Cricetulus griseus: one gene and its partners. The protein of the gene in region 2 interacts with the protein of the main gene of each other region in a biochemical or structural test. Links are inferred from orthologs where the notes say so. Each region holds a gene or a part of one and is shown on either strand. Other genes may lie near its edges.

The links.
Region 1: the proteins of Btk (region 2) and inhibitor of Bruton tyrosine kinase form a complex in vitro, tested with the Homo sapiens proteins (2 studies listed by BioGRID). The link is inferred for Cricetulus griseus from reciprocal best matches to the Homo sapiens genes BTK and IBTK.
Region 3: the proteins of Btk (region 2) and Sh3bp5 form a complex in vitro, tested with the Homo sapiens proteins (2 studies listed by BioGRID, with this or other methods). The link is inferred for Cricetulus griseus from reciprocal best matches to the Homo sapiens genes BTK and SH3BP5.

What each region holds. Positions count from the first base shown.
Region 1 is NC_048597.1:195,941,860-195,946,043, forward strand, and holds the start of inhibitor of Bruton tyrosine kinase, read right to left. Parts: upstream 2,835-4,184; 5' UTR 2,630-2,834; intron 1-2,629. UniProt on the Homo sapiens protein: Acts as an inhibitor of BTK tyrosine kinase activity, thereby playing a role in B-cell development. Down-regulates BTK kinase activity, leading to interference with BTK-mediated calcium mobilization and NF-kappa-B-driven transcription.
Region 2 is NC_048604.1:45,526,300-45,530,423, reverse strand, and holds the start of Btk (tyrosine-protein kinase BTK), read right to left. Parts: upstream 2,932-4,124; coding exon 2,791-2,931; intron 1,899-2,790; coding exon 1,800-1,898; intron 1-1,799. UniProt on the Homo sapiens protein: Non-receptor tyrosine kinase indispensable for B lymphocyte development, differentiation and signaling. Binding of antigen to the B-cell antigen receptor (BCR) triggers signaling that ultimately leads to B-cell activation.
Region 3 is NW_023276807.1:188,330,175-188,333,821, forward strand, and holds the end of Sh3bp5 (SH3 domain-binding protein 5), read left to right. Parts: intron 1-1,103; coding exon 1,104-1,364; intron 1,365-1,688; coding exon 1,689-1,906; 3' UTR 1,907-3,195; downstream 3,196-3,647. UniProt on the Homo sapiens protein: Functions as a guanine nucleotide exchange factor (GEF) with specificity for RAB11A and RAB25. Inhibits the auto- and transphosphorylation activity of BTK. Plays a negative regulatory role in BTK-related cytoplasmic signaling in B-cells.

The DNA of each region.
Region 1 (4,184 bases), on a different chromosome or scaffold from region 2:
AAATGGAAGAGAACAGTGGTGAGAAGGAACTGGAGGGGAAGAAATGGAAAGTAGGTTTAATCAAAAGACCCTATATGCATGTAAGAAATTCTCAAACAAGAAAAAAAATACCGTTGGAAGCCCAGGTAGAGTTTCAGATGGGCACAGGTATTTGTGGTGGTATGAATGATAATGCCCCCAAAAGATCCAATGTTTAATGTCTGGTCCTCACTTAGTTGAACAGAGTTAGGGTGTGGCTATGTTGGGAAAGTGTGGCCTTGTTAGAGGTATGTCATTGGGGGTGGGCTTTGAAGTTTCAAAAGCCCACACTAGGCCCAGTCTCAGTGTCTCTGTCTCTCTGCCTCTATTTGGAGGATCAGACTTGAGCTCTGAACTACTGCTACAGAGCCATGCCAGCATGCCTGCTGCCAATGCTCCTTGTCAAAATATCAAGGACTAACCCTGAAACTGTAAGCACGCTAATAACAATTCAATATTGTCTATAAGTCACTTTGGACATGGTGTTTCACAATAGCAGAACAGTAACTAAGACTGTGTAATAGAATACACAATGCTCAGATTCTGAATTCAGAACACCCAAGCTAGTTAAGGCAAGTACATAACTACCTAAGGACCCTGAACATACCACTTACTTTCTCTAAGTTTCAATATTTTCACTTGTAAAAAGGAGATTTAAAGGTATCTCTTGACCTGTTCTAAGACATCTTGGTAAATAAGTCAGAAAACATCTATACTATATTAGGACCCTTTCTTTTTGAAATACTTGTCAACCAAATCTTTAAAAGGCTACGTTTCAGTGCTTATAAAATAGTATCTACCATCTTTTGAACTTTCATATGGACATGTACATACAGAGCTTTACCTAAAGTAACGAAGTCTCATTTCAACCCTACTAGTGACTATAAATATGACTACCTTACCATGAGGAAACAAGTAGCCTACCTAAAAATCATACAGAGAGAGGAGTGCCCTGGATGGCACTTGTTAAACAACTGGCTCTCAGACAACATTTAGGAATGTCAATAGGATATAACACTGTGTAGTCAAGAAAAACTGTCCTTGGGGTTGCTACACCTAGAACCATAGACAAGTGACTCGAGGTCCCTATTCCTCCATTTCTTCCTTTGTGAGCTACTGACAATGACCTCCCTTGGAGATACATGCCTTGCTGACATGTGTCCTTGCAGGATGGGAGGGAAGCACGTTATACTTCCTCTTAATTTTCACAATCAGTAAGCAGGACTGTTTTCACTGAGCTCTTTAACACCAAAACACCTCCCCTGTACACCTGTATCTTTATTAATGTAAGTGCTACAAGCTGCAGATTACAAGTCATAATCAGAGAAAAGTTTTTATAAACCTAAACACATTTTTAAAAATAAGCACTTACAATGGTTTAAATAATTTAGTTCTATTGATACTGTAATTCATATCGTTCTCAAATATTCTCTGTGTAAAAGACCTAGAAACTTAGTTTAGGTCAGTATCTATCTCGTTTTCATAAAAGAAAATCTGCCCAAAATTTAGGGGGCAATAAGTGCATCCGGATGTGGCAAAGCAGTAGTCCCCCGTAATAAGAAACTAATTTGTGTCACTGAAAGTAACAAGTCATACCGACATCCTTTAGTAAGTACACTCATTCAGTCTAGAAGTTTACAATCCAGAAGCATCTTGAAAGTTAAGAAGGAAGTGAAATCATCACACAAAAATTAGCATACCGAAAGTCCTTCAAAAAAGTTTTATTAAAAGTGAAAACCAACATAGCCAACCTTTTTCTTCAAACTGCGATATGACTAAAGTTTTGCAAACACTTTTTTAGAAAACACGTTTAAAAAAAAAAAAGTTCTGTCTCCACATTTACCATGAAGTAGGTCTAACACAATAAAAAACAAATCAAAATATTTCAACAAGGAAGTGAGGCACTGACCAAAAATGCCTGCGAATTTGCATTAGGGAGGTAGCAACACTATTTAAAAACGAAAAAAAAAAAATGTAATCTTTTAAGGCACCACCACTCTTTTCAGTATGTCTGACGAATTTCTTCAAATGTCTTACTTCGAGGTAAAAGAACAGGGCTACTCAGCATTTGCTTGTTGCAAAACATCCCCTCTGGCTAACACAACTCAAGTTTTACGACTAAGTTGGAACATCAGATAATCAAGTCAAACCTGGCCTTAGGTATGGGGTTGGCCACTTCCCCTCTGAACTAACATTCCCTTGCAACCTGATAGCTACGAGCCAAAGGCCTCTTTATCCTATCTCTGCACAACAGACACAGTCCCTCTCCACCCAGCAGTAAATCTTTCTGCAAACTCAGCAAGGTCCACCTGAGCTCAGACTTTGTAAACTCCACTAAGGGTTTAGGGGACAAGGGAGCCTCTAGGAAGTGACGCCAGACAACTCTCGGAACTAGAAGTGCAACGTCGCTGGAGGGCGTGTCGGGCAGCCGGGCGACGTAGCACTTCGCGGGACCAGGCCATTCATTAGCTGGAGGGGGCGGCGGGGCTGCGCTCCCGGGCCACTCGCCCGTGCCACGCGGCGCGGAGCTCGAAGCCACCCCTCCGCGAGTCCCCTCCCCGGGCCCTGCTCCCCCGCCGGGCTGGCAGGACGCCGTCGCCTCCTCCCTCACCAGTCGCTAGATGAAGGTGCGCCGGGGGTCTCCGCTGGGAAAGCGCGCGGCCGCGCAGGGACTCATCTTCAGTGAAGGCGACAGGGGACAACGAAGGACGCCAGGAACCGGGCTGCCCGAGTCGGCTCCGGAGGCGGCTGCAGCGACAGCCGCGAATGCCGGCGCCGGGACGGGGTTCGGGGACCTGGGCTAGAGCGGGCGGGACTCGGGAACAAGGCAGGCGCTGATTGGCTGGAGTTCGTGTATACCCCACGGTGATTGGTCGGGGCCTGCCCACAAGGCCTAGCGTGGCAGCACCTCAGCTGTGGCCTTCCCCTAGAGTCCCAGAGGAACTTGACCCTGCCGGCCTTGGGGCTGTAGACACTGGCTTGCCGCCTTGCACCCAGAACCAGCAGTGTCCCTCTTGGTGCCAGATGTCATCCTAGTAGATCTGTCTCCCGGCAGGTCAAGACTCGGAAGGGAGAATACGGCCGGGACGGAGAAAACAAGAAGCTGGCTGGATACCCAAGCAGCCGTCACCACTCAGTGAAAGCATAGGCATCTTAGCAAAGTGGGGTGACTGGGAAACCAGAGGTGTCCTCTCCCCAAGAGTCAGCCCTGCTGCTCTGTGAGCCCCTGATGTACCCGGATTGTCTGAGTGTCACTCCCTTTGTCAGAAAGCACTATAGCATTTTCAGATTCCCCACTGTTCGATCAGCTGCTGACTTAGGTCACATCACTCATCACTCGGTACCTGAGGCAAGGCTTGCAATAGGTTTTCTCCCTTTAACTCTAAATCTAAAGGCCATTTTAAAAGTTGAAAACTGTTACGGAGAAAAGCAAGCCAATAATCAGTCCAGTATGGGAAACACACTGCTGCTGCTGAAGTCTGATACAGAGGCGCTTAAGTAAATAAGTATTCAGGGAGGAGTAGCATGACTCAGAGAAGAAAAAAAAGAAAAAAAGAAAAACAGCGCTAGGATCCTGGAGTTGGTTGAACCTCTCTGTCATGTTTGTGTTACTATATGAGCCACTAGCACTCTTAATCTAATAAACAGAGTTAAACTCGGTATCTTCTTATGCTGGTTCAGCCTGATTACCTGTTTTGTAGACTTTGTAGAACATTAAGTTGCTAGTGCAAAGTGAGGAAGAAATGAACACTGGAGACCTAGTTCCCCAGCTCTCCCAGTACAAGGACTTTCTTTGCTTTCCTACTTCCTACTTTGACGTGTAACAAAAACCAGTCTGTAGTGTCTAAACAATGAGTGGAAGCTGTTTATGATAATCACACATTGATGAACAAAGGAGCCCAGTGATCCAAAACTAATATAAATAAATGTGTTGACCTGAGCTCACATCTATTATCTATCTCTTCCTTGGATCCTCTGAGTAAATCATTTAGGTTTTCTGAAGCCTTATTTCCTCATCCACAAAGTGTATTTTTGCTATGGTGAACATGTATCTATAGCATTGAATAGAGTGCCAAACACACAATTAACACTACACACACACACACACACACACACACACACACACACACACACACACACGGCTAATTTTTATACATAAAGTATGT
Region 2 (4,124 bases):
AAAAATAAGGTATAAAGGGCCAAATAACTGGCTCAGAGTGTAAAGGCACTTGTCACCAAGCCTGAATACCTGAGTTCACTCTCCAGGAACTCCGTAGTGGAAATTGATAGACAGATTACATATAGACAGACAGATAGATACATCAAAAGTTTAGCCAAGCATGCTGATGCACGCCTTTAATCCTAGCACTCAGGGGGCTCCATAGTCTCAAATAGACAGATAGATAATTAATTAAAACATTTTAAAGGGAAAAGAAGAAGGAGAGGGACAGAGAAAGACACTTACCTGACTTGGACCTCTGGCTTCCACATGCACACAAACAGGTTTACATACATTTACACACACTTATACATACATATACACACCCAGAAAATAAATAAATAAATCTAAAATGCCAACTCCCTCCCCCCAAAAATACAGGTAGCTTGCAAAGCAAGATATATAGTAGCATTGTATTCTAGTTATATAATATATAGGTGCATGTGTATCGCTAGTGGAGAAAACATATTTAAACCTGTATATACCAGAATGATAATTATTATTTAAATGAATAATGGGTTTATATATCTTTTTATCTTAGTTTTGTGATTTCTATATTTTTCCATTTTCTATCCTAGATATGCATAATCTTATAAACAGGAAAAATAAAATGACAAAAAAATCAATTCAGTAATCATCCGGTGCTATTCCTTGGAAACAGCCTGGGAATTCAGGAAGAATAAAGCTGACTTGTTATCACCAATTCATGGAAGACTGAAGACTTTTCGGGCTGGAAAGATGGCTCACTGGTTAAGAGTACATAACTATTCTCCCAGAGGATCCAAGCTTGGTCCCAAGAAGACACGTCCACTCACAACCACCTGAAATTCTAACTCAGGGATCTGACGCTGGCCTTTGTATACACACAATGCACACACTCAACACACACACACACACACACACACACACACACACACACACACACACACACACTGGCCTCTGTATACACACAATGCACACACTCAACTCACACACACAATTAAAAATAAAATATATTTTCAAAAAAAGCAAGCAAATTCTCTTTTGGCAAATTCTTTTTTAATCTCTCTCTCTCTCTCTTTCTGTCTGTCTGTCTGTCTGTCTGTCTGTCTGTTTGTCTGTCTGTACGTACTTATTTTCCAGAGCATGCCTGTGGGGGTCAGAGGATAGCTTCCAGTGTCAGTCCTCATCTTCCACCTTCTTTGAGACATGGTCACTTTTTCAGTCGTTGCATATGCCAGACTAATTGGACCTTGAGTTTCTAGAATTCTCCTGTCTCCACCTCCCATGTTGCCACAGGAGGGCTGAGATTTCAGGTGCGAATACACTCCTGGGTCTGGCTTTAGGTGGGTTCTGGGGATTCTTGCCTGGCAAGCACTTTACCACTGAACCATTGCCTAAATGACAAGCTTTTCTTTCTTTCTTTCTTTCTTTCTTCCTTCCTTTCTTTCTCTTTCTTACATTTTTGCTTTCTATGTGTTTCGTGTGTGTGTGTGTGTCCACACTCGTACCACAGTTCTCATGTGGAGGTAAGCAGACAATTTTCAGGAGTTGGTTCTCTCCTTCCACTGTGTGAGGTTCAAGGGATAGAACTCAAGTCATCAGACTTGCCAGCAATTTCCCTTACCCACTTGGCAATCTCACTGGCTCCTGATGAAGAGTTTCTAAAGAAACAAAACTGTTCTACAATGCACTACAACACCACCATTCTATTTGGAGTATTTGCAAGTTCCAAGCGCCTTACAAACTGCAGCTCCCCCTCTTTGACACTAGCTTCTTACCGGAATCTGTCTTTCTGGTGGAGGATTTTTTTCAGGAACTACTGTCTCAACGCAGGTGATCTTCTCAACATCTATTGAACCTTTCTTACTGCCTCTTCTCTGAAGGAAGGAGGAAGAAAACGCAGGAAGATTAAGAATGATCAAGCGTTCAGACGTTTACACACATTGTTATCTTATCATCCTCTGTGGTAGGTAGCTCACATATTCTAACAGATCCTGGTTTCTCTTTGTTTGGGGTCTCACTATGTAGCCCTGGCTGGCCTGGAACTCACTATGTAGACCCGAGTGCTGGCATTAGTGTGTGCCATTGTACCTGGCAAAACCTGTCATTTTTAAAGTAAAAAATAATCCAACATTTATCTAGTCTTTAAATACCAAATAGGAGGAAGATGACAAGGAAGAATAAATGATTATAGTCAATTTCGTCACAAGAAACAAAAAAGGCAGGCTGGGTGGTGGTGCCACACACCTTTAATCCCAGCACTGAAGGGCAGGGGTTCTCAGTAAGTTCGAGGGCAGCCTGGTCTACAAAGCAAGTTCCAGGACAGCCAGGACTGTTACACAGAGAAACCCTGTCTCAAAAAACAAAAACAAAAACAAAAACAAAAAACAAAACAACAACAAAAAAACCCACCACCACCACCAAAAAACCAAACCAAACAAAATGACAACAGGGAATAGAAATAAAAAAGGCAACTTTGAATCCTTGGATTGTATTCTCAAGAGGCATGTAAAGAGCTTTTACCAACCGCAAGATTCCATGGAAGACACTCTGAACAGCTTCTAACACTCTTGAATTTTTCCCTGGCTTGACTGCACCTACTCCCAGTCTAAGAAATATTTTTTAAGAGTTTGAAGTACTTAAGTCTATTTTATTTCTACCCCCACATACACCTCCCCTTCTACCATGGATGACCTATCTCATGTCTCACATATCTAAGATCCAATCCTTGAAATGGAGAAATCCAGACTTCACGTTTGGGAAACTTACCCCACGTTCAAAGTCATACTCATAGTAGGAAAGTTTTTGCACAGTCAAGAGAAATAGGCGCTTCTTAAAGTTTAAAGGTGAGGTTTTCTTTTTCTGTTGGGAGCGCTTCAGAAAGATGCTCTCCAGGATCACTGCAGCCATGGCTTCCTCTCTCCAGATCTCACCTGGGTGCTGTGGATAATGCAAGGTTTTGAGGATCTAGCATAGTCATCTCTAATCCCTCCTGGTTCTACCTCTGCCCTGCTACCTGTTTTAAATGAAACCCTCACGTGCAACACTAGCAAGGAAACATTTTTCCTGACCTCCTTCTTCCAAAGTCCCCAACTCTGTCAAATTTCAGAATCAGTGAATGCACACTGAACAAAGCCTGGCTTCTTACATAAGGGAACCAATGTTCTAGATAATCCACGACATATACTAGGTTGTTTAGCAATGTCTAGACACCACTCTAAACTACTTAACCTTTTTATGACACACGGCCAGAATCTGTAAATGGCAAAAATGTCTGTGAAACTCTTGACCCTGATATTCTCAGAAGGAATCATTCAGGTACCAGAATTTCACTAAGGCAGATACTGGACTTTCAGTTCCCAGTTTCCTGAACAATAAATGTAATTTTTTTCAAAAGCTGACCAATTCAGGTCTGTAGACAAAAGAACATTGGTGGGTTCACCTGTACTCATGAACACACAATAGCTGCCATTCGACTGATTTAGTTCATGCCTTACTGTCTGGGTTATAAAGGAGTGAAGCTTTGTTTCCAAGTTGAAAACCGTTTTACTACAGTATATTAGTGCTTCGGCTCTCGCTCCCATTACGGTTTCCACAGATGATTCCCTTTAGATGGCACCAGGTAAAAGTGATGTAACCTGCAGCCTTCCGTTTCCAGCACCCATACCATGGCTTGCACCCACCCGTAACTCCAGTTCTAGGATATTCGGCGCCTTCTTCTGACCTCCATGGACACCAGACATGCAAGTGGTACATGTTGCGATAAAGCTTGAAGGGAACCTTGCATGGGGGACCTTGGTGGATTCCATGGCAGGCAAGGGTGACCAGGCGGGAAGCAGGGGGAGGGTGGCAGGGGGACAGGGACGGACATGCTAGGCAGACAGAGCTTAAGTGAGAAGTTTTATTGGAAAGGGGAGGGAGGAGGAAGGAAAAAGAAAAGAGGTAAAGAGGCAGAGACACACAGAGAGGACAGAAACGAAGAGGGAGACAGGAAACGTCCTGCCTGCCCCAGGGGAACCGCGGGGAAGACAGCTGGAAAGAGAGAGCAGGGAGAGAAGAGCAGGGAGAGCTGGAAAAAGAGAACCGGAAAAGAGAGCATAAGT
Region 3 (3,647 bases), on a different chromosome or scaffold from region 2:
CTTTAAAAATAATTTGTGTATGAGTGTTTTTCCTACATGTGTATCTATGTATACCACATGCTTGCCTTGTGTTAGAAGATGTCAGATGCTCTGGAATTGCAGGCATTTGTGAGCTTCTATGCGTATGTTGGGAATCAAACCTGGGTCCTCTGGAGGAGCAGCAGGTGCTCTTAACCACTGAGCCATTTCAAGCCCCATCCTCAGCAATTCTTGAAAGCCATCAACAAATGCTGAGTTGCCAGGTTGAAGGGAAATGAAACTATAATGTAATCAGTGGCTATGAGTGAGTTACTTTATACATCACTTCATTAATCCTGTCCATAGAGCATTTGAGCAGTCAAGTTGCTTGACAAGGCCACACAGTCAACAGTGGAGTTAGGATCTGAATTCATTCAGTCTGTCTGAAGCAGTATAGTACTTAGAACAATCCTCTCAGGAATGCTAGAGGCCATTTTTAAAGATGCCATAGGTGTAAAGGGAACTAGGAAGGATTTTAGAAGCGAGAATGCAGTCTGAGAGGCTCTGAAAACAAGATGGTATGTCTCTGTGCCTTGGTTATTCTGGTCCACAGATTCAGGCACAGTCAGAGCATTGAAAATGAATGTTCTTTGTTGCAAACAGTTAAGGGCATCTCGTGAGATCAGAAGATACTACAGACATTCCAACAGCTCTTGCTGCTTACGCCAGAAGGAAGACCTTCAGTCTTCACTGTAAGATTGCCTCTGTGTAGGACACATTTCAAAGGGCTAGTGTCTAAATTTATCTGTCTTCCCTTTCCTTCAGTGCTGGGGATGGAAACCAGGCCTTTGTATATACTAGACACGCACTCTGCCCTAGCCATCCCTAGCTGTCCTTTATCTAGGTAGCACTTGCTGGCACAGAATTAGAGCAGGAGTTAAATTCCTCTAGAACACAAACTTTGCACAGGAGCTAGCTGCTGCTTCCTTTCAAATGCTCTGGAGGCTGGTCAGAAGAAGGCTCAGGAAGGTTGTAGGTCCTGCCGACTCCATGCTGTGGGACTGCCTGCCCGCAGAGAGCAAGCCTTTAGGAACTGGGGTACTACTTAGCAGACTCCATGTGACTGATGTTCTCTCTCACCATAGTGGCTTCCGAAGCCTTTGAAGACGACAACTGTAGCAACTTAGTGTCTGAAGATGACTCAGAAACCCAGTCTGTATCCAGCTTTAGTTCAGGACCAACAAGTCCATCTGAAATTCCTGACCAGTTCCCTGCAGTGGCAAGACCCGGCAGCTTGGATCTGCCCAGCCCTGTGTCCCTGTCTGAATTTGGAATGATGTTTCCAATACTGGGCCCTCGAAGTGAATGCAGTGGGGCCTCCTCCCCTGAATGTGAGGTGGAACGAGGTAAGTTGCAACCCAACTTGTGGATTGTTTGTGCCTTTGCTTGGGCTCTGCCTGACCAGCTTCAATAACATAGAACTTAGGTCCTTTGTCTCTCCTTAGAACAGTCCCCTTCACTGGTTTGATTCCTAGCTACAAAATGAGGATGAGTGTATCTCTAAAGATACACACTAAGGAATAAATGCAGTGTATCACCCAGTGCTGGAGAACCCCTGAGATGCATGGTGGGTGGCGTGGGAACTGCAGAGGGCTCAGGCGGCTGATGCCAGTGCCTATGGTACTCTTGGAACTGTCAACTCCCATTTGGCAACCTTTGTATCTCTACAGGAGACAGAGCAGAAGGGGCTGAGAATAAAACGAGTGACAAAGCCAACAACAACCGCATTTTCGGCAACAGCAACAGTGGTGGTAGCAGGGGCAGGAGCCAAAGCAGCACATCCCTTGAGGGCCAGACCTTGGAAACCCGTATGAAGCAACTCTCTCTACAATGCTCAAAAGGAAGAGATGGGATTATTGCTGACATAAAAATGGTGCAGATTGGCTGATCCATGTGCAATGGATGGCTATGGATGGCTATGACCCATGTGCAAATCACATTTATACATGAAACTCAAGAAACATCGTGCCAATAATCATTTAACATAAGCCAAATAGTATGCATTTACTCTAAACTGCACTAACCAAGTTTCAGTGATCTTGAGGGCTGAAGAATTTCCCTCTGATAAGAGCTCTTGGGCTGGTGTGTTTTTCAGAGCAGAGCCATTGCAGATAAACTGTGACCAGGGTCACAGCCTTTGCAGAACATTCCCTGTAGCGGCAGTGTGGAAGCAATAACTAGTTTCTGTGAAAGAACCTGAGCCAGGAGGAGAACTGGACACTTAGCCAGACTGGGGTCACCAGCCTACATCTCTATCCCCTCTGCCCCCTCTGTTTGGGGAAACTGAGATGTTTTCTCCATTATATCACAGGGCACCAAAATAATTTTCAAACTCACACAAAAACTCAAGTGTTCAGAACACATTGTTTTGACCTAGTGAAAGCTTAAAAACAATGCCAAGAACACAATTCATCTTCATCACCTCTGGTGCTCAGAGGGGGATTTAAAAAAAAAAAAAAAAAAAAAAAAAAAAAGCATGTCTTCTGGGACACCAATTAAAACCATTTCCTAGGAAAGCCACCATGAACTGCACTTTTGGGGGGTGGGAAAGGTGAATGAATGCCAATGTGGGGATGGGTAATGAGGTTGCAGGGACATAGCATAGAGGGGATTTGTGGCTGTGGGAGGCTCTATAGCCTGACTTTAGCCTGCCAGCCAAGGGGGGGTATATTCTAAGACAAGTGCATGTGAAGAATGGTTGCCACTGTTCTATCTAGACTGACAAGAAGTTAATTTCTCTGTAGGCTGTAACTTCTACAATAATTGCAATTATTTAAGGTTTATGCTGCACCTAGTATTCCTTAGAGGAAACGGTCCTTAAAGCTAGGAAAGGGAGTGGGCATGTACTGGCAAAGGCTGGTAAATAGAAGCAATGGATGCCATGATAATAGTGTGTTTAGACTTAGTGTTTATGGTTATGCATATTTAGGGCACTGTATTTTATCTGTCCTGTTTTATTGATTTGGCTTTTCTGAAGAAAAAAGCACCCCCTCCTCCATTTCTTAATTGTCTCTTAATTCTGTCACAGCTTGTATATTTTAGCCATGTATGTATAGCTTCATACAACAGTGGTTTCTCCTTTTTTATTGATGGATACAGTATCCTAATTACAAGGTTATTTTGTACTTGTTTTAATACCTTGAGGGTAATAAAAACTAAGAAAACTTTGTGACTTCAGATGAGAAAGCCTGCTGTTGTCTTACTCTGGGAAATGCCATCGCTTTAAGAAAGCCCATAGAGTGCAGTGGGCATCTGCTCTCTTTTTCAGGTAAGATGGTAATCCTGGTCATTTAAGATCAATCCCAAGGTCTGGATTCGAATTCTACTCATGCATGGTGTTACACAGGTGTGCACCAAGGAGAGACAGGCAGGCAGCCCACAGGTGACACTCAGCTTCACTGGGGTGGGGGTAGGGGTGGGATAGGGGCTAACATCCTGTGATATGGTTTGTCAGTCTGATTTAATTTGTGGTACACCTGGGCACTTTTTCAAAGGAGTATCAGATTTTAATGTATATGCTGCATACTGAAATGTGTTGTGGGATAAGTGCCCAGTTAGTGTTGCCTATTAATGTTCTCAGAAGTCCCTTTCAACTGCTCTGTTCCCTGTAGCCGAGACTTTGTTTATTT